3 linked regions of the Drosophila melanogaster genome follow. The gene in region 1 interacts genetically with each later gene. Each region holds a gene or a part of one and is shown in the gene's direction. Other genes may lie near its edges. The genes, in order: PGRP-LC, Vps33B and TM9SF4.

Region 1 (8,604 bases):
TTTGTGCGACGGGTTCAGGTGCGGTGGCGGTACCAGTGGCACTCCGCCGTCCGATTATCGGTCAAACCCATTGTACCACATTATAAAACAATCAATTTGCAGACCACCGCTGTTCCCAGTATTTGCTATGATATTTGTTACCGATGACTCAGTGGTCAATTACTCATAATAGATATATAGGCTTATAATGCCGTGTTTTGTGTCCAATAACGAAGAGGTGTGATAAGCTTAGTGGATCGAAGTGCCATGAAACTGTTACTAAAAGTTCACTCGGAACGCACGGCGCGCAGAAGACGTACACCCGAACCCAGTTTAGCCCACTCCCGGGATTCATCAAGTACATACATAAAATCTAATATCTACTAATAAATTAGATTTACTCAGCGCTTTCACAGGCTTAACTAGATCCGTGTTTTCCGACACCGAAAAAAATATTTAGAGGCCTGAAAGATAATTGAGCTTAAAAACGTTTTAAAATTATTTAAATTTTCTAGATTATGATTTTAAGTTTCCGACTTGTTTGTTGTTATAGAAATATAAATGCTTTTGATATGCAAAACCGTAAAATGTTTCAAAAACATTTTAAGTCAATATATCCATTGAAACGATACAATTTCTTGGCTTTTGTGAATCATATGCTAATTGATTGACTTTCGCTAATTAAGGAATCAACAGCAACAATGCCAATGGTAATGGCAACGCCAATCGAAGTCGTGATAAGTCGCCATCTAGGCGGGTCACTCGGAACACCATCCTGCTGATCACGCTGATCCTGTTGGTCCTGGCCACCGGATTGATTGTGCTCTACGTGGAACTCAATCGACCCAAGCCCGAGTTGCCCAGTAATAAAGCCATCTATTTTGGCAACAACTACGACCACCAAACGTGTAAGTGGATGGCACTTGTATAATCCATATAGCCAATTCACCAATTCTACAGTTCCGAATCTAGGAAACGGCCATCTCGTCGTCGACAGAGAGCAGTGGGGAGCGTCGAAGAACTCTCATGGTCTGACCATTCCCCTGAAGCGACCCATTCCCTACGTCCTAATCACCCACATTGGAGTGCAGTCTCTGCCCTGCGATAACATCTACAAGTGCTCCATCAAGATGCGCACCATTCAGGATTCAGCCATTGCTGAGAAGGGTCTGCCGGATATCCAATCCAATTTTTATGTAAGCCTGTTCTTGTTCTGCACTCTTTTACGCGCCTCAATGGGAAACATAGTTCCTAAAATAAGCCTTGTATAATACTTTTTAAGCCTTAAAAATCAAAATTTCTTCGAGTGTAGTAGGGAAAAGAAATCCCGGCGCGTGCATTTGTGTTCCCATCACGTTCACGTGCCATTTTGGGCATTTCGCTTTCCGCTTACGCAAATTGTCAAATTTCCGAATTTGTTTCGACCAGGTTTCGGAGGAGGGTAACATCTACGTTGGCCGCGGCTGGGACTGGGCCAACACGTATGCGAACCAGACATTGGCCATTACCTTTATGGGCGACTATGGCCGGTTTAAGCCCGGTCCCAAACAGCTGGAAGGTGTCCAATTTCTGCTGGCCCATGCAGTGGCCAATCGAAATATTGATGTGGACTACAAACTAGTGGCGCAAAATCAGGTATAATTACTTACTATATATCTGGCATATCTGGTGACATAATAATTTAATTGAATATTTTCCAGACTAAGGTGACCAGAAGCCCGGGTGCATATGTGTATCAAGAAATCCGGAACTGGCCGCATTTCTACGGCTGCGGAATGGACGAAGCACCGGCCTGCGGCATCGAATTGGGCATGAAAACGGAATCGTGGGACGCCAAGCAATAGCTACAGACTTTTCTACCACCTAAGTGTAACCAAGCACAAACTGTATTTTAATACATATACTAAGGCGAATGGAGCTTTCTTTTAATCGGTTATGCTGGCTTCGAAACCAAAGTAAACCGGTTGGGAGCAAGCGGTTTATTTATAGTAATATATATATATATAGTGTCTCTCTTCCTCTCTGGAGCTCTGTTTAGTTTTACTGTCGCTCAAAAAGCTGGAAATTCCCAAGCCGCAGTCAACCTCTATCAGTGCCAATACCAGTACCCCTTTTATTCCCTCATAGACTTTAACACTCATCGATCTTGTGTGTGTCTGTGTGTGTGTGTAAATATATGAGAGCCTTTGTGCGCCAGTACAACATCATTATCGGTAGCTTCACTTCACTTCACTTATATAGACGATGTTGTGATCGCTGTGGCTGCCTTTGTCATTTATCTGCCTTTCAACGTGAATATATGTACAATGATAATAATGATGTTTTATTTTTGTTATCATATGGAGTCATTACAATCCTATTTACAGGAAGACTGGTAATAGCAGAGAAATATATTAAAAATGAAATGGATATTTGCCAATAAGATCTGCTATCATCACCGACCTTCAGTTCAAAGCCCTCAACAGAGAAGTACGTTCGATGATTTATATTGGTAAAAAAAAAAAGAAACTCCTTCGAAATGTTTATGTTTTTAACTTGCGCATCAAATGATGAGCTGAAACTATGACGACATGGAAAGCTAATAAACTAGTGGGTGTGCCTTTTAACCCTCTTTTCATCAATGACCTAAAGTCCAACCTGCCCAAAAGAGTGACGTACATACATTCATTGACTAATTAATCTCACGGCGCCTTAAAAAAAAAATTATACCTACAACGCGGAACGAATTTTTGGCCAAAACAATGACGAGAGTACGGCACGTGTAAAAACCAAAAAGAAGAAGAAAAAAACACATATGCGAAGAGGGAACCAAAAAAGTAAAAATAATTAATAATAATTAAGGTAAGAAAATATGTGGAGGTAGGTATATTAAAATAGCTATGGTGATTGATTTCGCAACCGTTGTAAAGAAATTATTATCTGCTTCATTGGAAATGATTTACAATAATTACTGGCATTTTTCGCAATAAAATAATGGGTCAACAAAGAATAGATTGCCTGGCTACAAAAGGCATAAATCATTAGATGTTTCGGTGTAGAACTTTAACTGCAATAAAATAATACATTTTAAAGGCCACTCAACAAGCTTATCAGTAAGTCAGGAACACTGAGAGAAAAAATATTATAAATAGTCTACAACTATTTCGATTAAAGCTCGTTGCGCTTTCCACTTATAATTATATTTTTATTTTTCTTTTCTGTAAGCGTGTTCGGAATTCGTTTCGCCAATTTGTTGCTCTTTACGTTTTATCCATCAACAGTTTCCCGGCGCCCTTTTCAGACTATCAGAGATCGCCGAACCGCCGTTCGCCTATAATTACATTAAATATTTTTCAACACAAGTACAATGGGTCAAGCTGGAATTGGAAGAGAAAAAAAAGAGCTATGTACACATGTACATATGTATACATATATATATATATAACTGGCCTGTACCACAAAGTGAAATAGCCAAAAACCGATTGCGGGCCGCAAAACAAAACAATTCTCGGAAATGGTAGCGCAATTTAAAATGTTCACATTTTTGCCCACACTGCAATGTCTGTAAGTGTTTTGGTAGACGGGAGAGAGCCGGAGATTTGTGTTGTTTATTGGTTGAATAAATAAAAAATATATATATTTATATACATACATATGTACATATATAATACGTATACGCCGATTTGTCTGTGTCGATGTCGGTGCGGACGACTAAACAACTAAACAAAAACAAACAGTCATCGTCAGGTGGGAGAAGTTGGAGAGACCATTCTCGAGCCACGGGGCGTAGCTGGAGGTATCGTTATAAATTTGACTAATATCTGGAAGATTTATAAAAAAAAACCCGAAATCGAGAACAGGTTCCGCGACTTAATGACGCTCGGAAAAACCGAAATATGCAGCTCGCCAGATGCAGTTATCGGAATTCTTTCGGTTTCTTGGGATCACTCGCTTTTCGTTTAAACCAGTTTCGATTGAGAAAAAGTTGTACCGCTATCATAAGTTATTAAAATGTACAGTTTTTTTTAAGGAAAATTTAAATCATTGCATTTTATTGGTTAACGCTAGATTACAAAAAGGATAGAAAATACAACAGAACGCGTTCATATTATGTAATATGTAAACACTATATGTTAAAAAATTATATTTTCTAAAACGATTTAGAAGTTTTTTGGAACAAGGCTTTTGAGTTGCACTCTTAAGATCTTTTGAGAAATCACTTATTAAAATGCAAATCGGTAACAAGTTGGACTGCCTGAAAATCGGACTCAAATTAAACAACTTTGGTTAAATAAACGCAAAAACGCCGACCGCTCTCTCCCCATCATTCTCTTTGTTTTTTTTTTCTCAGCGATCTGCTCTCCCTCACACACGCTCCCCACACGCTGCCATATCAGACGCTCCAGCTTTTCAGGCCGCTGCGATTTGATCGCCGCTCAGTTGATCAGAGTCACTCGAACGCGCCGCTGCTCAACGATTCGAAATTGGCGCGAAACGGTATAAAAAGTTCGACTTACAAATTGGCTATATAGTATAGACGCTCAAATATCAAACGAGCTGCAACGGTTTTCGTCGGCAATTTAAAGTGCGTAACGATATGCAAAGTGTTAATATAGAATAGAATATAGAGTGATTATATAGAATATTACACACCGCAAAATAATCATAATCCTATTATATGACTAGTGACAAATAATTGAGCAATTATATCGATATTTAAGTGCAAACTAGTTTGTTTCTCCAATCGTTTTATGTTCCAGGAATGTTAATTAGCCTTTCGAAACACGAAAGGAAGTGAAAGAAATTCGTGGAAGTGAAAAAGAAAACATGCTATCGAAACATCGATCGAAAATCAATTAATTTGCACATAGGCCATATTTAATGATAATTTTGAAAACACGTAAAACATCAGAGTTGTTAATTATTATCGATTCTCCAAACAGAATACAACCAAAACAAAGAGCACCCATATTGTGATGATCTGTGCGTGTATTAGTGACAATGGCCGCCGCTCCCGTGCACGTGTATTGGTGCGCTCGGTAAACTCAAAATGCCATTCCGTTTCTCATTTGTAGCCGTTGTCGTTATTCGGTGTATTCCATTTGGTGTTATCTCAAAAGCGTGCTCTGTGCCAACTCTCTAGAACATCGATTCTAAAGTATAAAGTCGCTACCCTCCAAGGCACCCTTTCAATTCTATCGAGTTTATCACAATTCGCGGAATTCTTTAAAATAGAGTTACTGTTTTGAAATTGGCACACCTCTTCGGAAACCTTCGTATCTACGTATCATCAAGACGTCACGGCATATGCCCATAATGATCTTTCAGCCTTTTGAAGACGTCACTCGTGGCTTTCGAATATCCAAAATTAAGCATAACATGCATATGTATGGGTAACAACTACTACTTTTGTGTTTCTCGGAATCCACTTAAGTAAATAGACTACGTCAATGATTATAGCTAATTTGCATAAGCCTTGCATTCGTGCGAGCTTACTGACCAACTATTTGAATCGAATTTGACGAGTATACAATATAAGTCAACTGTATACATACACATATATTCCAGCACTATTCAATACCCTTATATCTTAATTATACAAACTTCACTGCCATACAACAGCAGCAACGTTTTTTATTCGCGTTTTAAAAACTCTGTTGGCAATCGAGCTTATCAACAATCGTGTATACATGAACTAAAAGCGTTGATTGTACTTATAAATCATATTGCAACTGAACGATCTAATGGATTGTGATAACAATAAAATCACTTTTATAAAGCATGTGTAATTGAAAAGTATTAAAGAACTGACGAAATATTTTTCTAAATTGTGTGTGTTATCCAAACCGTTTAATAATGCTCAAAGCTATCAAATAAATATCACTTAGCTTATCGCATAATATAATATCAGCAATACATTGTTAAAATATATACATATATTTATCAATGTTCTAAAAACACTTGCACACAAGGGAATTATGTGGTTTTATCAAAAATAAAAAAATCAGTGCACCATAAAGCCAAAGTGCCTCCCCAAAGTTAAGCCCACTTTAGCCCAATTCAAACAAAAAATTTCTTCGAAATTTGACAACGTTTGACTAGCTTATTATCATCAAGTTAACCGGGACCAACAAAAAAAAAAACGTATACTTATTTGCAGATGCTCATGATGTGATGTTTGCCGAGAGCTGTGCCTAGTCAGCCGTTTTGCCATACGAAAAATAATGTACCGCCCAATCTGCTAAATAGGAAGGCTAACACATAACGCTCAGAGATCCAGAGAAAATATCAATCTGGTTACGTGACTGTCACGATAGTTCGACATGCCTTTTAGCAATGAAACGGAAATGAGCCAATGTTCCAATGCGAAACGTAGAGTAAACGATCCGTTGACTGGACCAAAAAACTGCAGTACTTCGTCCACAGACTCGGGCGTTATACTAAACGATAATGTGGCGGCATTCCGGCCGGAGAAGGAGACCAAAGATCGGGGGACGGGCGAAGGGCAGTTCCAATCGAAATCGGAAGAGAAAACGGAATCCAAGCGTATCAGCGTTGAGCACACTGTCAATATAACAACGGAAAATGTTGGAAAGACATCTTCGCCGGCGGTTTCCATACGGAGTACCACAATTTCCGTTGTGTCCATCGATGATAATGCCATCGACTCGAGTAGTATTGATAGTGATTCGGAGGCCGAAGCGGAGGATTATACGGTCCAGAAGCTGGGTCACCAGGTCACCTACCCGCCCAACAGTTCACACCTGCGCGACCTTAACCAGGGTCTAACGGTGATCAGTCGCCATGTGGCGCCAGGTGAGGCGGCAGTACCACCACCCAATCCCCTGGAAGCTGGCATTGTGGCCAAGCAAATACTGAACGGTAATCTGGCCGTGGCCACGCCCACATCGCCGGCGGGCGGTGCCACGCAGGGTATTGGCAGCATCGCCCTGACCAACTCCACAGATGTGACGTTCGGTGATAAGCATTTCTACGAGGGACCCGTGACGATACAACAGTTTCTCATCGATAATCGGGACAAGTGGAAACCGGGCGAGGGACCAGCTGGTGGACAGGATAACCCCGCATTCAATGGTGGTCCCAGCACGAATGGAAGTGCGCCGGGTAAGACATTCTAAGCTAATTTAATAGATTGTATTTTAAAATCTAAATCTGATATCGTTTAGTTTTTGTACACTATACTAAGAATGGAATCTTAAAAGTTGTAACTTTCGATTGCTTTCGCATCTTTCTGCATAGTTATTCTTGAGGATCGTTAGTTCGATAATTTCAACTTTTTAGTTTTCTATTCTAAAATATATATTTTCTGGGATATATATCCTTAAAACATATATATATTATTTTGCTATTTCCTGCTGCCTTTGTTTGCGTTTCATTTCTGTCTTCACCTTGCCGCGGTTCTGTTTGCTTTAATGGGCCAAAACTGAGCGCGTGTGACTATTTGTTTACTCAACCCAATTGGCCAGGTCTAACGACCGTGCTGCGAATGGTAGATTAGCAGATGGCCCACAAAGCAGACAGATTCATTGTATGCGCCTAGAACAAATACTACATGTTACTATAAAAACATATTAAATGCATTTAATTGCGCAAGGCAACAAAACTCATTATGGAAAATTTTGTTAAAATGCCAAATAATTTTATTACGTATAGAAAATATTTTAGCTTGAAAATTAAAAAATATTTATGAAAATCACGAACCCAAAATTTGTCTCACATAAAATAAAATTCATGAGAGAAAAAGTTTTAACGCCAATAGTGTCGGGGGATTTTTTAATATTAATACATTTTTTATTACTTATAGAACTCGTTTTTTATCTCCCTGTTTTCCGATTACAATCTCAGCACAAAAAAAAAACAAGTAAAATTTCATTCACGAAAAGAAAATGTATCTCTGCCGATTCAAGGCCCCGCAGCTCGTAAATCAAATCGGTGAAAACTTGCGATAATTACGCACAAAAAAAAACCATAGCAACTGCAATTGTTTACTTGATTGATTTTCACAATTACCATAATTAAATCGCCGTTCTGGTTGGCGAAAGTCTCCAATTGGAATTGAACCAGGGGTTCGAGTGTAAATTTAGTCAGCTGTAGTTAAGTGTTGTTTTTATAAAGGCAGGTGCTTCCCCTGGATCACGCAATAAATACTCATATAAAGCGGGGGGGTTTTTTGCGTGCGGCTTAAATACTTGCTAAATGAAAAAGTGAAAAACAAGAACAGTTCCTGCATACTATGTGCGCGGATCGGGAAAAGTACCCAACGATCGGTTTCAGTTGTTCATATAAAGCGATCGGAGAATGTCGAGGAACACGCTTGAAATTTGCCTAAAGTGTCACGGGATAATCGTAGATAATGACAGGCGTATCGAGTGTGATAATGTTTATTGTGGTCGGTCCTGTCATCGCAAATGCACGGAATTGTCCGAGGATCAGTTGAAATTGCTGGAAATGGTGCCCAATTTAAGGTGGAAATGTGACAACTGTCTGAATGGGGTGCAAATTGGAGCACAAATGAGCAAGTGGTTGGAAAAGTCACTGCGGGAACATGAAAAACGATTGGAAATCCTAGAACAGGGGCTAGTGAAGCGTAAGAAGAAATACTGAATATATAGCAAGCTAATCTTT
Region 2 (8,178 bases), on another chromosome or scaffold:
CATCTCGTTTCTTCTCCCTATATTCTGTGCATTGTTCATATTTGCATATGAAATCATGTGTTAAAATGCAGAAGCTTTTTGAATATATTTTCGTGTGCAACATTTCTTCGGCATTGAAGAAAGTGGACGGAGAATGGGTGTTGGGTTGGGTTGCCACTACTGGCTCTGTTGGTAAACAAACATATAAACAGTTTTTCTTGTTCATATTTTCCAGCGTATTTTGTTAGCAAATGTCAACTTGGTTGACTGCACAGAATGCATCGATAGTTTTTCTTGATTCTGGAGTTATTTGTTTTTAACCCAAATGAAGGCACTTGTATTTTCGGATCATAAAAAGAGTAAAAATGTTTTTTTCTTTCTATATTTTCTATTTTCAGCTGTTAAGTGGAGAACATAAAACAATCCTAATCGTAACTAATATTATCAGAGAAAGAATCAACAAAGAATTGCACAAGAAGTAACGACTGACCATTGAACCAGAAGAAACGTAAAATTTGCAATATCCGGTCGATTTAAAGTGTTTTTGTAGCTTTTTTTGGTGTCTACTCCAGGAACTAGCCAAACGAAAAACAAAAGAAATTTCCGCTGAGTCAAAGTGCAAAATAAAAAGTTCAGCTCGTTTCAATTGCTCAAATCTAGCCTTTTGTCTTCATCGCCTCGTTAATTTAGAAAAAAAAAAAAGAACTCTGGCAAATAGTGTTGACACTGGAGATTCTCGGTTATAGTATTTAGAAATTTTATTTTTTAAATAAATAAGCTTAATAACAATGCTTATTTTGTTAAAGCTCCAAAAACGCTTGAATTTCTGGGCTGTCCGTGGTATGGTGTCCGTTCTGTCCGGAGTTTGGTGTCCGGAGAACGGTGCGAGGTTTAAAATTCCCACATCTCTGGTCTTCTTTGTATGTCGGCAGTTTCTAAGAGAGTTAACTTAACTAGTTGGTTCCGCTTTTGTTTGGTTTCTGTTTTCCTTTTTTGTTTTTGGCCGGCGACATCGCGGGAAATTCAAACTGAACCGAATAAACAAAGGACGGCGGTGGGGGCGTGTGGCAGGCAGATCGAGGGAAAGTGGGAAAACGCTGAGACGGAGTTGCGTCAAACGCTTTTCCGCCTTCTCAGCTATGCGTGGCACGTTGCCTCGCGCTCAAATTGCTGAGAAAGGTGAGAAAATTCGAGGGAACTAAACTGGAGATTGCACGACCAAGCCAATCCAGACCAGCGAGAAAAACCAAACCAAAAGATTTTTCATCTGCGCTCGAGTGCCGTCATTTTTCGGCTAGGCAGCGCGCTTAAGACGAGGATGTGAAAACCCCGGACTTGTGAAAGCCGCTGGTGTGAAATGGTGGGCAGGTATGTAGGATCTTCAAATGAATTGGCCGTGTCGAAACAAGTTAACCTAATGGCCGACTAGCTGCTTTGCATAAATTTTTTCCCCGAATTTCCAATTAAATTCGCAATTTTCCAGCGGCCAAAGTCGAAAATTTTACAATGACCTCTAATCAAAGTTGTTTATTTTATCGACTGTTTGTATTTACATTATTCTAAAAATAAGTGCAAAGTTGATTTTGGCCATTGCGAATAGGCAAAAGCAAAAATCAAATATATCGCCATCTATCAGTTTAAATTGAAATTTTATGCACAAATTAAAGTTGTTCTGAATCTTGTTTCTCAAACACATCTTCCTCATTCAAATATACGTTTTTCCAAAATATACAAATGTGCTAGAGAATGTATTTCATGTATTAATTCATCTGTAGCGTTTAGATACTTCTCAAGTATATTTCTTAGGCTCAGTTCCACGAATATAGTGGCCAAGTAACGATTTGCTGATTTATTCGCTATATTTGCCGCACCTTCGTTGCTTTTCTTTGTTTCTACTTGGACACGCGCCAAAATACTTTGCTCAAGGCAGGCAAACCACACACACAAACACTATCTGTACGTCAGAGCAAGTCATCCATCCCAGATTCTACATCCCCAACATATATCCATTGTGTCTCCCAACTCGAGTTGGGTTCACTTTCGCCATTCTGGTTCGGCGCAAGAAAAACAAACATGGCTCAGTGCGTCCGTCCCAAAGAAATGATGAAAGCCGAAGAGCGAAGAATGCCGTAGAATGAACAATTCTTTGTTACTTGTCTTGTCTTCGAGTGAGTCGAGTGAGTCACCCTAACGTAAAGAAACGCATGAGTGCGAATTGCCGCGATTGTTTGCGGTTTTTTGATGAGTGTGCTAAAATAAAGCACTCACTTTTCTTTAAATGTACATGCATATATGTACTCACTTTTTGGGTCTAAAAATATTGTAAAAGAAATATACAAATTAAAAATACCTAATCATGTAAAATGAATTCGTTACCAAACTAGCACACAAATCAGCTAAAAAGCGACGCAGTATTGGCAAATGTTCAAAAAACGTAAGAATAAACTTCAATCGCATTTTTCCAACACACACATGTGTCAAAATGTACCGAAAATGCTGCCCAAAAATAGAACCCGCCAAGTATGGGAATAATTACATTTTTAAACAGACTTACGCCAAACACCAGAGATCGAAAAAGAGAGTGAAACGAAGCTAATACAAAGCAATTTATATGTGTACAAACAGACAAATGGAAATATTTGCCATATGCCAACAGAAGAACAATACTAATTGGGTTTGATGTGTGAGCGTGGAAATGAGCAGAGCAAAAACAGACATCAAACCGACGAAAATTCACACGCCTCCTCCACACAGCGAACCAAAACGAGAATCTTTTTGGGGATTGGGTAAATTTTTTGGAGGGGGTGGGGGGTAACGAATAGCAACGCACGTTGCAAAAATGCTTTCTGCTTTCTTTTTCAAAATCATTGCTGTTTGCACGAGTTCTTGTTTCGTTTTCTTCTCCCGTAGATGTGTAATTTGTTTCAGGTTTTAATTAGTGCCGAACTTTGGCAAGAGAATTTATGGGGGTGCGATTGGAATTGGGATTGGAATCACCTTCGGGTGATGGTGTTGTTTATTTACCTATGTAAATGCAAATGAATTATTTCGATTTGCTTTGCTTTCAGCTTATTATTGTTTTTATTAAGCGAGTGAAGAGCGCATCTCGGACTGGAAATCGAATTGAGAAACGCCGATGGCCTCGATAAACTCAGCGGAATTTCCCATTAACGGGAATCCACATCTTCTTTAATCCAACTAACGATTAACCACTCTTATGAGTAATAATAAAATGTCGCATTAGTCGGAATAAAAATTCATTTCAAGTAAAGATAATTAACTTGCTTTTAGATTTATTCCTAAAGCGGATCCTAATGATTTTTTCTATATCTAGTATATAATGGTGAAACTAAGCAGTAATACTAATTTCAGCACAAGAAAATCAAATTGTTTGTATTTTATGCAATACAAACAAATCTCTTAAGATTTGTTTAGTTCTGAAATGATGATTCATGTTTAAAATTTCTCGCACTTTCGAGAGCAAACCTACAATTATAAAAAGAAAAATAATATGAACGCAAATTTTACATTATTTATGCTTTCAATTATAAAACAATAAATATTAAAAAAAATCATATATAGTTGAAACATTCTAACGTGACTCTCCTAACAAAACATACTGTTGCAAAACCTGTTCTAAGCTAAACTACTTAAAAACCTTTTAAAACTTGTAGGCAATTAGCAAAAGTTGAACAGTCTGGGCAAAAATTAAACTTTTAAATAAATCGAAAGGCCAATAAATTATAAAACCCATGGCAAAAACTTATTTTTAATGGGAGAGAGGGAAATACAAACAAATAAAGCATAATTGGGAGGGGCAACAAGAACAACAACAATAAGAAACGGGCATTAGAAAGATGAGCACGAAGAAGAAGATGCGATTAGAAGGCACGGGAGCGCAAAGAATAGAAAAATTAAAAGTAATCTAAACAGCAACCTGTGCAGCGTGCCCGAGCGAGACAGCTGCTCAAACCGGTATCGCAACAACAATTGAACCGCAAAGAAAACGCGAAGAAGACACACACACGGACTATAAGAAAATAATGTTAGCCACTAAAACAAAAACAGAACGAAGCGAAAACACAAAGATAATGATTGACAAAGGCAACAATGTACAACTGCAAGCAGGACAGAGTGAGAAGGAGAGAGCGGTAAAAAAGAGACGAATCTGCGGCACAAAAGAGAAGACGAGAACATGCAACAAGCTGCAATTGCCCAAAATAACAACAACAAACCAGACCGCACGGCTATTTTTGTCATTAGATTAAATATTTCACATATTTTTGCACAGTTTCACCCACATGCGCCAAACCCAAATTATTTATAAACAATGTAAGTGCAAGCTCACCTGATAACTGCAAAATAGGCGCCTGTAACTTTTGATAATATGGAAAATCTCAATTTAAATTTGTTGTTGGCTGTTGCTTTGCTTGTTGTTGCTGCCGCTGCTGTTGTTGTTGTTGTTGAATTTCACGCGAAAGCAGGCAAGACAACAACATAAAATCACAAACACTTGCACGCACATACGTCACACACACCCGCACACACACTTGGACAGCTGAGACATAAACACACGGAGAGCAAATCGCAGCGAGAATGGGAGAGAGAAAGAGACAGAGAGCGATAACAAATTTGTTTTCTGGTTTTTCTTCACGATTTTATTACACGCTTTTCGAATGGCTAACCATATTTTGATTCACATTTAATTCGCTCCAATCACAGTGTGTTCCGTGCGCTTGCTAATTTTCGATTTTCCACCGCAGAACTCCGCCCGTTTTGCTGCTGTTTTGGCAATCGTCTCTCTCCTGGCTAAAAACATATGATTTCGGTTGACGGAATCACGATAAAAACACATAAATGCGAACAGGGCGCGCGCAACAACTTCCCACGACAAACTCTCGCTTCGGAATTTGGAACGAAACTGCCACTTTTGCAGCGAATCGCGCTTAAATACCCGTCTAAAGATGGGAACGCATGGCGAACCGGTTCGATAGTTCGTGAGCGAACAGCCTTCGCACAGTGGTATGCAATCAAACTGAGCAGTAGATTAAGTACTTTTGTTTAACAAACCGGATAGCTCGAACTTTGAAAATAAGTTTTGGATCGGCAGGAATTAAGACTGTGCACAATTAATGCTTTTAATGGTGACTCAACACTTTGTGACGTCAGTAGTAGCATAAGTTCAAAATAATTAATTTGAGTATAGCTTTTGTTTAATGTATTGTATAGAATAACTAGTAATACTGCTTTTTTGACTGCGATAAACATTTACGTAATAAAAACTGCATATATTTGCTTTGTGACAACCCTATTTTATTTTGCGTGCGTCACCTTACATTTTGCTACCTTGCTGCATCAGCTGTTTGTGTTGTGCGGCGAAGAATGGATTTGACGCTGGACAAAAAGCTGCAGGGATTCCAGTTGGTGGCACAAGAAAAGGTATAATAATGAATCGGAAGAGTGAAACTATTAACTACCTGCAATTCGACTGCAGCTTTGTTCCATACTATGTAGCATACCTGGAAAGAAGGAGTTAATTTTGGAGCCCGACTTGATAAAGCCACTGGAACATGTTGTCACTGCCTCCTGGCTGAAGTAGGTGTTTAATCCATATTTTATGGATATTTACGTCTTATATATACCCCTTAACAGGTTGAAGGGCATACAACGGATCTACAAACATGATGCGGCACAATCTTTGCCCCGATCCGCCGATCAGGTGCACATCTACATGATCCGCAGTGTTTTGGGTACATTTCAGACACTTCTCAAGCAATTGCAACCCGTGGCCTCAGAGGAAATGCCCGACATCTCCATGAAAATGTATCACATAGTCTGTGTGCCCAGTTGTTACTCCTATTTTCAAACCCTGCTGGAACAGGCTGGTTTGTACGGACTGGTGCAACTTCATCACTTTAACTGGGACTTCATCTATTTTGATCAGGGAGTTCTCAGCTTGGAGCTGCCCAATGTGAGTAGATGTACATTGAACATTCAGAAAAGAGTCTTTTATACTGGATATTCTTATTATTCAGCTTTACGAGTGTCTCTACCTGCAGAAGAACACATCTCCATTGCCTGCGGTGGCCCAGAGCCTGCGATTGCTTCAGATGATTTGCGGACAACCGTCTTTGATTCTGAGCTTTGGCCACCACTCGTCGCAGCTAATGCAAATGGCGAAGACTCTTGGCAAACTTCCGGCGCCCACAAATCCTCCAGACTATGGCGGCTGGCTGGTCATCGATCGGGATAAGGATTACCCCGCCAGCTTGCTCACTCCGGCCATCTATGCAGGTCTTCTCTTGGAAGTTTTCGAGCATAGTTCTGGCGAGATTCTGGTAGACAATTCCAAGAACAAGATCCGCAGCCAGCGTGTGGAGTTACTCCAGGGAAAGAAATCCAAGATAGGCGTAAACTCAGCCAGCAAGCCGTGTTCCATTCGTCTTAACTCCACATCCGATGAGATCTACGGCGATAATCGGTACAAACGATTTGCTCAGGTCAGCAGTTTGATTCACGCACAAGTAAAAGCCCTGGGCTTGGAACTGCAGAAACTCAATGACATGCAGCTGGACGAGATGCATGACTATGTGGCCAGGAAGCTACCCAAACTAACCGAGCTTAAGAGCAAAGTCCTTAGGCATCTGAATGCCAGCGAGATTGTGATCCAAATGATGGGTAACTTCAGGAAGCTCCAAACGCTGGAGGAGGACATACTAAACAATGATTCAAGAAAGCGATTGCTAAGCGAGATCGACGAGCTGTTGACCACAGATGGTCAGAGATTTAATACACTGCGACTGCTGTGCCTCTTGCATCATTGCGTTGGCGTGGCGCCCGAGGAGCTGCAGATATTTGCGCGGAACTACTGCAATCTGTTTGGACACCAGGAATTGGGCGTGTTCCAGCAGTTGTCGCAGGCGGGCTTGTTGCCACCACTTGTGGTGGAGAAAAAGGCGCCAACGAAACTGCTCTCAAATCTACCTCTGCCCAAGTTCCAGCAAACGGAGTTTCAGGCCAATGCTAATCGGCTAAAGCTGTTGACCTCCAGTGGAGATGGTCAGGATGGAGGTTCCTCCTCCAAGAGCCAATCCAGTGGCTTGCAGACCTGTCCCAGTTTTGTGTTCAATGGCACCTACATACCATTGGTGGCTCAGCTCTGCTCCATTTTGCTGAAAATCAATAGTGCTGAGGAGTTGTCCTCGAAGCTGGGCATGATTGAGGGGCTGCATCTACACCTGGACAGCGGAAAAATCACGCCCAAGGCCTATGCCAGCCAAGTGAAGCTAAACGGAGTTGCAGATCAGGATATGTTCCCCTTGCGTCTCAGGAATCTCTTTGTATTCATTGTGGGTGGTGCCAGTTATGCGGAAATCGCCGCCTGCGATTTTGTGGCAAAGCTAACAGGCGCCCAAATAACCGTGGCATCCGACTCTCTAATGGCGGGCAGTGATTTGATCGCCACCGCCTTCAACCGCTGACCATGAAGTAACTAAGAATCTGTGTATCAAATGTTTTATATATTTTTATACAAAACAATGATGACAAAGCTTGTGATTAACAATTTTCGAAATTTACAATTTAAACAATGCTCTTTTCGAATAAATATTACCTAAAAGTGGCATTTGCTATTTATCACCACTGGCTCTGGTCATTCCAGGCACTCGGTAGAGCAGCTCTCCATCGTCATCGTAATAGGCATCCTCCACCCGGTAAGTGGCTCCTTGGCGATGCAGTTTCCGGGGAATAACAATGCGTGTTTTCACCTGGGTTATTTCATACTTGCGCTGATCCGCGGCACTGATCACAATCTCGCTGCTCGCAAACTTGGGCACGAAACTGGGCAGGAATCCGGTGCCACTGGGATTCTCGATGGGCCGCTTCATTTCCTCTGGAACTGCGGGCGCAGACTCAACGAGCTGCAATTCCTTAAGCTCCTGCAGCCGCATCTTCTTTTTATTACGGATTTTGTCCAACAAATAGGTTTCATCTTCGGCAGCAGAGGGTGGAGCTTCATAGCCGGATGGGATTTGTGGTGTAGGCATCTCCTCTGTTGTTTTACTACTGCTGCCCAGCAGTTTGCGGAATTCGTTGCCTTGCGGAGTCGGTAGTTGTGATTTTGTGGGCCAATCCTGGATTTTAAGCTCCCGCAGATCCTGCCACCTTCGCTCGGCGAATTTCTGCAGATGCTGGAGAAGA
Region 3 (8,850 bases), on another chromosome or scaffold:
TCTTAAACAAACTGGATAACCTCTAAATATTCTGCTTAACAACATAATATATAAGTAATATATAAGTATAAAGGGTTTATTAGGTACATATTTTTTATATTGAAAAAGGGATCTTTCTTAAAATATGGGCCAAGTAAATATGTTTCTTTAGAGCTGATATAATTAAATTATATCTTAGTTATCTTAAGTATGGAGCTATTTCTATTAAAGGTCAACTTCAAATCAATGAAACTAAATTGCCACCAAAGATATTAATCGCAGCAGTTGATCAGGTCATTGTCCCTTCCTTAAACGCTTTCAATTGTTGGCCATTAACGGTGGGCTTCTTGGCCAAGCCACAGCGGCCTACGACAAACATGTTACTCATTATGCAAGTCACAGTCACAGGAACCGGGGGAATACATGGTACACTATGTGGCTGAAGGACTTTATCGGGGTTGGGTGTATTGGTGGAAACACAAGATGACCAGGGGGCACAGTGTCTACAATCTAAAACGCATATTACTCGTACAATGAGCCACGCCCACCGGCAACTAACAAGGCAAACAAGCCGGCCAACGGGGAAGGACACACAAACAAACAAACTGGCCAAAGGGTAACGAGGGCAAGGGGGCAAGGGGAGAGGAGAAGCCTGGGGATAACACAGGGATAACGCGAAGGGGGTCGAAATGGCAATAGCTGCTAATTGTGTAGAACAACGAAGAAAATTGCAGGGAAAACAAAATGTACGATCCATGGGATTGTCGAGGGGAGAGCGCATTGGGCGTGGTCGGGCGAAAGTTTAACTATAAAATACTGCGACACATCCAACAGATACCAACTATGTACTAACTACTAAGCCAGCTGACCAGCAAGGAATAAAGGAGTCAACAGTGTCAACAGTGGCGCACGAGAATGGGGATAAAAGAAAAGGGGTTCCCCAGTTTTCAAGGCTAAATCCTCAAGAAAAACATACAAATTTACAGGAAAAACATGCCATCATTTGTAAAATTACCTATAAATACTCATTATCTCCTGCCTAATGTTACTATATCCTTAAAATTGCACGCCACTGTCCTGTGAAACTGAAAAGTGGTCAAGTTTATGGCAAATGCACTTTAAGTGCTAAAAGTCGAAGCTGCATAGTTGCATTGACGCCGACATTAATCGACTTACCAAGTGCAGGGAGTGCATCTGAATGGCTTGTCCTTAAGATGTCCCAGATGGGGCGAATGGCCAATGAAATGGCGAACTGCGGCCACTTTTCATGTTAATTAAGATGCGACAAATACACATAGATAGATATCGGGTGTGAAGAGATCTGGGGATTCGGCTTATGCAGATTTATGGCCGCCAACGAGCCCAAAGGGCCCAACACAACTGCTCGAACAGCAAAACTTTTGCGACATTTTGGCTATTGTGTCCGTCTAGCAAGGACATAATTAATAGTTGGCTAAAAGGTGAGATAGTCGCACAAAGGCCGCACACATAAATGTGGCAAATGTTTTGTGAGCTACTCGATGTGATGCTGCTGCTGCTGCCTCAATGAAAAGTTACCCAGATAACATAATTATATTTCAGTTTTAATTGTAATTTATGTCCTGGCCAAGCGCATGATTTATTGGCCGTATGGGTTTTTGCACCTAAAGAGTTAAATTTATTGAATTTCGGCTACCCAGGGCTACCAAGTTTGTTCTTACCTTAAATAAGCTGCAAAATATATATAAAAGGGACTCTTAATACAATTATGTTTTAAATTAAGTTATCGAAAGGCTTTCATATTTGCCATTTGCTTGAGCGTTGCTGCACTTTATTTAGCCAGCATTGAAATTAATATAAATATGGGTTTCATTTTCTTTATTACACATTTACACAATTCATTAATTATTAAAAATAAAAACTTGTTTAATCTATTAGCCGCGCTTTCGCCTCATTTCGAAATAAAAAAAAGAAATAAAAAACATTTAATTAGCGAAATTAACACAGTTTGAAGAGCAACAAAAGCCATTTCTTTAATTGCATTACCGTACCCATTTCCACCAAACTGATTAAATCACTTTAATTTTCGCGTGAGTTGTCATGGCAATAAAGTGAGCCAATTATGATATTTAAGTGGGAAAATATTTGCCAGCTGTCAGCCACAGAGACCCGTGATCCCTATTAGCCTACTCGAGCATTATGGACAAGTGGCCTTCGCTGCTGACAAACTTAGGCAGTGTCAACAAATCAATGGGAAGTCTACAAACACGACACAATGGCATCGAACTAATTAAATGGCGATTTGTGTCAGCGATAAGCATAATAATTGCCGGGCAAACAAATCAACACAGAAGCCCAGAAATTTTCCACGATTTTCTTTCATTTCCAGATGTGCGGGTGTCGCTGCCTAATGAAGCATTATGTCATAGAAAGATATTTATACACATACATATGGTATGTACGTAAGCTGAGAAAAATGACGAAATGAAAATATATATTTAACTACTTGCTGCGCACTGAACCCAGAAATTACAAAAATAAGATGAAATCAAATAGCACGTCTTCCATTCAAGTCCCCACACCCACAAACGCTGCTCCATCGTTGTCCGTATTTGGACAAGCCATCATCAAGATGTTTCGAGTCATTGAAACAAAGGCCAAGTCGAGTCAATCAAACAAAAGAACGGCCCGTGTTGTCCCATTTCTCATCTCCCCCACTCCAAGTCTCAGATACATCCGAAGTCAGGAGGCAAAAGACAGAAGAAGCCTCAACCACCTACAGATAACGCCCAGCAGAAGGAATACAGACACGTTTGTATTTCGATGCCCATTGAACTGTGGGAAAAATGTCAACATTATGAGTTGATGATAGGCCGGCGATGGGCAGCTGATAGTCGTGGAATTTAGGGCGAAATATTTGAGTTACGTACCCGAAAAGAAATACGTTTTTTCCATCATAGCGGGGGGTCAGTGGGTGGTCGAGGGTCATCTTCGCAAACATCTCTCTTATCATCAATCTTTGCGCCTCAACACTTTGAGGATGCTGTGGCAGCTGAGGACTGTTGAGCCCTGATGAAGTTATAATATTTATTTGGTTTATTATCCCAACTGCTTGTGGTCCCCGGGGAGAGGGAGTGGAACTGCTTAGACAGTCGTTGATGGCTCATTTTGTTATCAACATATGAGAGGAGTTAGTTCATTGCAAGGAATGGAAGCTTATATCTTAGTTTTTATAATGGTATAAAGCGGTTAATATGGCATACTCGGTCCCGTAGTCGGTCCCGTAGTCTTGGGTAGCTTTTCATGACCAAAAAACCTATATACACCGAACTGTGTATCTTTATTATTCCAACATCAATATTCCAGCTGCATCGATAAGTCATGCCCCCCAAACAACGATGGACATTTTGCACCGAATAACCTTGTATATTCCTTTCAGGAAGAACTTTTCCCGAGGAGCAGAACATTTTTATCAACTTTCCCAGCGGTATCGAAGGCAGCGGGCTCAACAAATGCCCTGTCAGAATTTATAAAAATGTATTTCGGCAAAAGTGAAAAATCATTCACATAACCCACCCAGTCACACACCCAGTCGCACACACACTTCTCATTGTCGCAGCTTCGGCACACGTGCTGCGGAATGGCTAAAGAATGGCAAAAATGGCAGTGATGTGGCCTTAACACCACTTTGGTGGGGGTAAGTTGGTGGTGGTGGGTAGTGGGGGGGTTTCTGCTTGCTTGACACTGCCCCAATGCCCCATTGTTGTTCCTACTGTGCTGCTGATTTTGGGGCTGTCACGCTGTTTTGGCAACATTGTTACGTATGTTGGCTAAATCGTTTCGGCTGTCTGTCTGTCTATCTGCCAGCTTCTTTCAGACAAAAATCTCACTGGCAACAAGGTGTTAAGCAAGCAATTGTATTAACCTTATCGCAACTTTGATTTATGCATGTAAACACAGAAAGCGATGCTTGTCAAGAAATCGATCATGTCAAGAGCATCCGCACGGGCTTACTAATGAGTTCTTATAAATAACAATGCAGATTGCGATTTCAATGGCAACAAATTCTCAATTTGGAAAAAAAAACAAGGGAAAGTAAAATTTTGTCTTAAAAGAATGTGCAGTTTTCAAAATTCTTTGGTACTTTATCCCAGCTCACAAAATTCGAATTAATTTTTAACCTATTATGTTGGGATACAAAATCAGCTAGTTAAGTAGGTCATACAATGCGACACTTTTATATCAAATCGCCCTTTGTATCCACTACTTAAATATATAATTTCTAATTAATTCCGATACAATACTCTTGCATTATCACTACTTATGTGTTGACTTTAACTGGAGATTCTTAAAGTAGTACATCAAAAGGTTGATTTGCATGTTGAGAACAACCCTTTAATGGATACTACTTAAGGAAGCTTCCATCAACAATTTTTCTTTGAACTCATTGGTTTCACTTACTATTACAAACTGATTGACGCTGAAGAATACGCCTGTAATTTATAGGCAAATCTCTTAACTACTCAAACCGAATTTTGCTTATCAACAATTTCCATAATCTCTGTTAATTCCCAAATAAAATCCCAAACTGACTCTGTAAACTGTGCCTAAATAAATAACAAATATTTGCTGTCGATAAAGTGCTTTTGTGTGTAAAAATTACAGTTCAATTATAATGCAAGTACATTTTAAATCGATTTAATTAGTTATGATATGGTTATATTTAAAAATTATTAAGTATTAACTAGTATATTGCCAAAATTATATATATATTGTTATCAATGTAACTATTGTAAACGGGAAAATCCTTGTCAGTACTTTTTAAATTGAGATTTAACTACTCTGATGTATGAATTATTTGTAAATTAGTAAATTTACTTCGCAAGTACTTTAAATGCGTCCCTCCACATAATCCCAGCAGCAATCAGTGCCACGCCGAGCCAGAGCTCGATGAATCTCGGCCAGCTGGCAGGACGAATAGGAGGCAGACCCTATCGCATATTCACACACAGACACACTTACTCCCGGTTTAATAAAACAAAATCCTGCGGCGATAATTTACAACACGATTGTGCTTGGCAAATTGCTTTGATTTAAGCGCGCCAACGTGCCAGGACTGCGCACATCCTGCGCTCCAAAAAAAAAAAAAAAAAAATGGAATAAAAACAAGCAGTCAACATTGGACCAGGAAACCAGCCACAAGATGCTCCTCCACACACACACACACACATTGAATGTTCTGTATATGTGCACGTGTAACGACCACACACACACACACGCACACCTTCACACTTGAGTGGCAAGCCGAGACGAAGGCAAACCAATTCAACATCCGTTTGCCGCTAATTCACACGCACACACACACTCACATACGCGGCGAGGAGCTGGCATCGTGGCAGCAAGAATATATGAAATACGCGCAAATAACGTGTTAGGAAAATGGCGTGAAAATTGTTATATATATTATATCCGTACGCTGAAGCACTTGATATGATTTCTTATGCTCCATTCACTGCAAAAGGTGTTGAGCAGTTCGCGTCCTACGCACGCTCGATTGGAGCTGGAAAGGATGTGTGCCAGCGACGGTCTTCAAAATCTGGGGCATGCCTCCGATTTAAATTAAAATGTGGCGTATTCACTCTGTTCGAGCTGAGATTGGAGGTCGGCTAAGGCAATAGGTATAGTTAACTACAGATATCTTACATGGTTTCGTTTACTTACGATTTCAATACGTTTTCTAAAACAATATTGTACTTAAACTAAGGTTCCAAATTATGTTCTACACTCTTTTATTTAAGAATAACAAGTTTCTTAGCTAATGCTTCTCCATTTTGATATAAGTTATAAGATGAGTTAATAAGATCTTCCCATTCCCATTCTTGATATGATTCTCTGACTTACTCCTTGTTAATAATTTTACCAATAGAGTTTCCACAAACCATTCTGTTTCACACTAAAGAGATACCAACTTCTTTGCCGGGAAAACTGCAGTTTAAAGACAACGCAACCGGATTCTGACTGAAATCCATTTTACGGGTGCCAAGTGCCAGACCAAACCGAATGTCTGTAAACTTGCACGTGACTTTGGCGCAACTTGCAATATTTGCAGCTACGGCCAAAACCAAAACTAAGCTGCCAACAACAATGGCAACTCCGGCCAAACTCCTGAAATCAAAACTAAAAATTCTGAAAGTCACATAGCAGAAAGTTTTCCATGCAGGTATCGTAGATCCAACGGAAGACTGCCAAAGTCTGTGACTGTTTGCTTAAATGATTTCGCAGTTTTTTCCCCTCACACTCTCGCTCGTCCCGAACTTTTCTTCGTTTTTTGTTTGCAAGTATACTTGTTCGGATGGCTTTCGTTTTATATTTTTTGTCTGGGCGCCGCATAAAAACTAATATTGTGCTGGGAGTTTATTGGAATTTGGGCAAAGAGGAACTTCTAACAGGTAGTATCTTGTAATTTTATGGAGTTAGCCGTGGGGACTTTGCTTTATGGAAATCGCATCCAAAAATGTCGTAAAATCAACGCAGGCCACGCATACAAAAAAAAAAAAAAAAGTCGAATGGCGCTAAACTCCTCGGCAAACTTGTGCGACGGATTTTGTCTTGCGGTTAGTTTCTGCCAATTCTGCAGGTGCCACACAAAAGTACCCCCCCGAAATTGTTATCCACATTAAACAGTTCGTCGCAGCTTTTCGCCAGTTGCGTATCCTGCGGATTGCTCGCTTACGTGACGCGTATTTGGCATGCAGGACACGTGGTCCCCGGGTCCTATCAATAGGTATTTTCGTTGGCTGCGCATCGATGGGTCTAATTAATGTTTAAACTCTGGCCTTCATTATTCAGTGATTCCAGTGCCATGGGACGTCCGGTCGCCACATAAAAACTAAGCATCGCACGGTGAAATGATTTTGGCCATCCCAGTGTTCAATGACCGAAATTGCCGCAAAAGTTAAGTAAACTAGTGCAAAATTAATTTGCATTTAAAGCAGCACTAAATATGCCATGCATATAATAAGTTTCGATATTAATGGCATTGAGGCACTTATCAAATATCTAATTTCTCAAAATGGGTTTTAGCTTCATATCATTCTTAAAATTGATATGTTTACCATGACTAAAATCAAGCATGTAATAAATTTGAATTAAAACTATGATATATGCAACGGCTTGGAGCAATAACATTAAGTGCAATTATAATGCAAAGCGAAGATACCAGAAACCAAAGATATTTTATTGAAGCTAAAAATAATGCTTAATATTAGACTTCAATTGCTGTAAATCAAGAAATCTAATTTCATATTATACGATAACATAATCAGAACAACAATTCAGCAAAGATTTCTTGATGAAGCCGAGTACTCCGAGCTTAAACAGGAATTGACCAACTTGAAATTATGAATAGCAATTCGTTAGAGGAAAGTTGTGACCAGCTACCATGTGGCTGCTCCTCCGGAAATCCACTGGCGGAGATGACCCAGCAGGATGAACTGGTGGGCGAAACTGGGTGGGTGGAACTGGCTGCGTCAAGTGGCATCGCCCGGTATGGCAAAAGTGCTTCAATCAAGTAAAACTTGCAATATAAATTCAAACATTTTCCATTCAATGCGTTTTTGTGGTTGTTGCCACTCAAGCATCGGCATTGCCATGAATATTCCTCTGCAATTCCACTCGCCACGGAGTCCTCGATATCCTTTCTCTGCATCCAGAGTTTCCATCAAAATGTAGCTCCGTCGGGCTGATGCTATTATTTTTGGTTTTGTAGCAACATTTACCTGGGCAAGCAAATTGCAATTCGAAGCCAAATGCCACTCCTTTCCAGCCACGCCCCCTTCCGCCACGCCCTTGGAGTCGCGGTCAATGCAACAAATTGGATTGCATTTGGTTTGGTTTTGAGGTTACTGAACAGGTAGCTTTATTATTGCTATTATTTGATCCTTAACTCTGCTGACTTCACAACGTATTTAATTTAATTATGTTCTACTAACCTTTCGCTTGGCATGAAAATACATAATTGTTAAGAAACATATGTATGACATTATATAGCTATCTTTCACAAATCAACAAAACATTGTGCACCCATTCCACATAAAATTATTGGCATAATTCACATAATCACAGAACAAAACCAAAATCATTTAAGCCAACTTCCTGCGAAGCCAAAACGACTTACGAAATCGTCTTAAATTTCCCCAACTGCTCAACAAAAACCCATCCACATTCGGCTGCCACAACTTGAGTTAATTTAATAAATCTTGAACAACTGAATAAGCTTTAAATTAATGACCCTGTAAAGTTCATATAAATTATTGCGTTATCTCGAGCATTCACCCCCAATTCTCCAACCAAACACCCATCCACCCAACTTCCAGCTGACACGTGGTGGCACAATATGCTGGGCATACGAGAGAGATTGCCCCCAAAAAGTTTTCCGCTTTTCCTGCCTTTCCACCTCCTTTTCCCTGCTCAACCGAGTTTTTCCAAATGATTTCTCATTTCCAATGCCGACAGCCGCAGCCGCTGGAGCAACACATTTTTACTCCTTGCGAAATCAAATTTGTATCAATTACAATTGCATTAACATATAATTTGTGAGCGTCTCGGATTTCGCAGCATCTGTTCGGCGCCCAGAATAGCACATTTAAATGGCCAGCAATTTTCCCACTTGAATATCAAATAACAGCCTGCTTATTGGGAAAAATCGATGAGCATCAGCATTGCTAAGAAAACTTCGTGGAGAACAAAATGATTTAGTTCATAGTAAAAACGGTGTAATTTAGTTGCTAACCATCTATGTATGTATTGAACTAAACATTTCCGTGATCCAATTAAATTTCCAATTTGGCAAATCAAATTACCAATCATGCTCAGCTCGTAAAGTAGAATTCT

Evidence for each region.
Region 2: of PGRP-LC (region 1) and Vps33B, changing one suppresses a phenotype caused by changing the other (phenotypic suppression), as found in Drosophila melanogaster (one study listed by BioGRID).
Region 3: of PGRP-LC (region 1) and TM9SF4, changing one suppresses a phenotype caused by changing the other (phenotypic suppression), as found in Drosophila melanogaster (one study listed by BioGRID).

Annotation. Positions count from the first base shown.
Region 1 is NT_037436.4:9,336,047-9,344,650, forward strand, and holds the start of PGRP-LC (peptidoglycan recognition protein LC), read left to right. Parts: upstream 1-4,391; 5' UTR 4,392-4,543; intron 4,544-6,118; 5' UTR 6,119-6,281; coding exon 6,282-7,083; intron 7,084-8,153; exon of another isoform or gene 8,154-8,277; coding exon of another isoform or gene 8,278-8,566; intron 8,567-8,604. Other genes in the region: PGRP-LA (peptidoglycan recognition protein LA), read left to right, coding at 666-887, 940-1,175, 1,408-1,614, 1,680-1,823. UniProt on the Drosophila melanogaster protein: Major activator of the imd/Relish pathway and is likely to encode a pattern recognition molecule for the humoral immune response. Required for Relish processing and nuclear translocation following proteolytic cleavage.
Region 2 is NT_033777.3:25,468,155-25,476,332, forward strand, and holds Vps33B (vacuolar protein sorting 33B), read left to right. Parts: upstream 1-5,335; 5' UTR 5,336-5,361; coding exon 5,362-5,418; intron 5,419-5,473; coding exon 5,474-5,574; intron 5,575-5,631; coding exon 5,632-5,950; intron 5,951-6,014; coding exon 6,015-7,460; 3' UTR 7,461-7,602; downstream 7,603-8,178. Other genes in the region: CG4553 (uncharacterized protein), read right to left, coding at 7,608-8,178.
Region 3 is NT_033779.5:13,743,455-13,752,304, forward strand, and holds the start of TM9SF4 (transmembrane 9 superfamily protein member 4), read left to right. Parts: upstream 1-3,497; 5' UTR 3,498-3,655; exon of another isoform or gene 3,656-4,434; intron 4,435-8,850.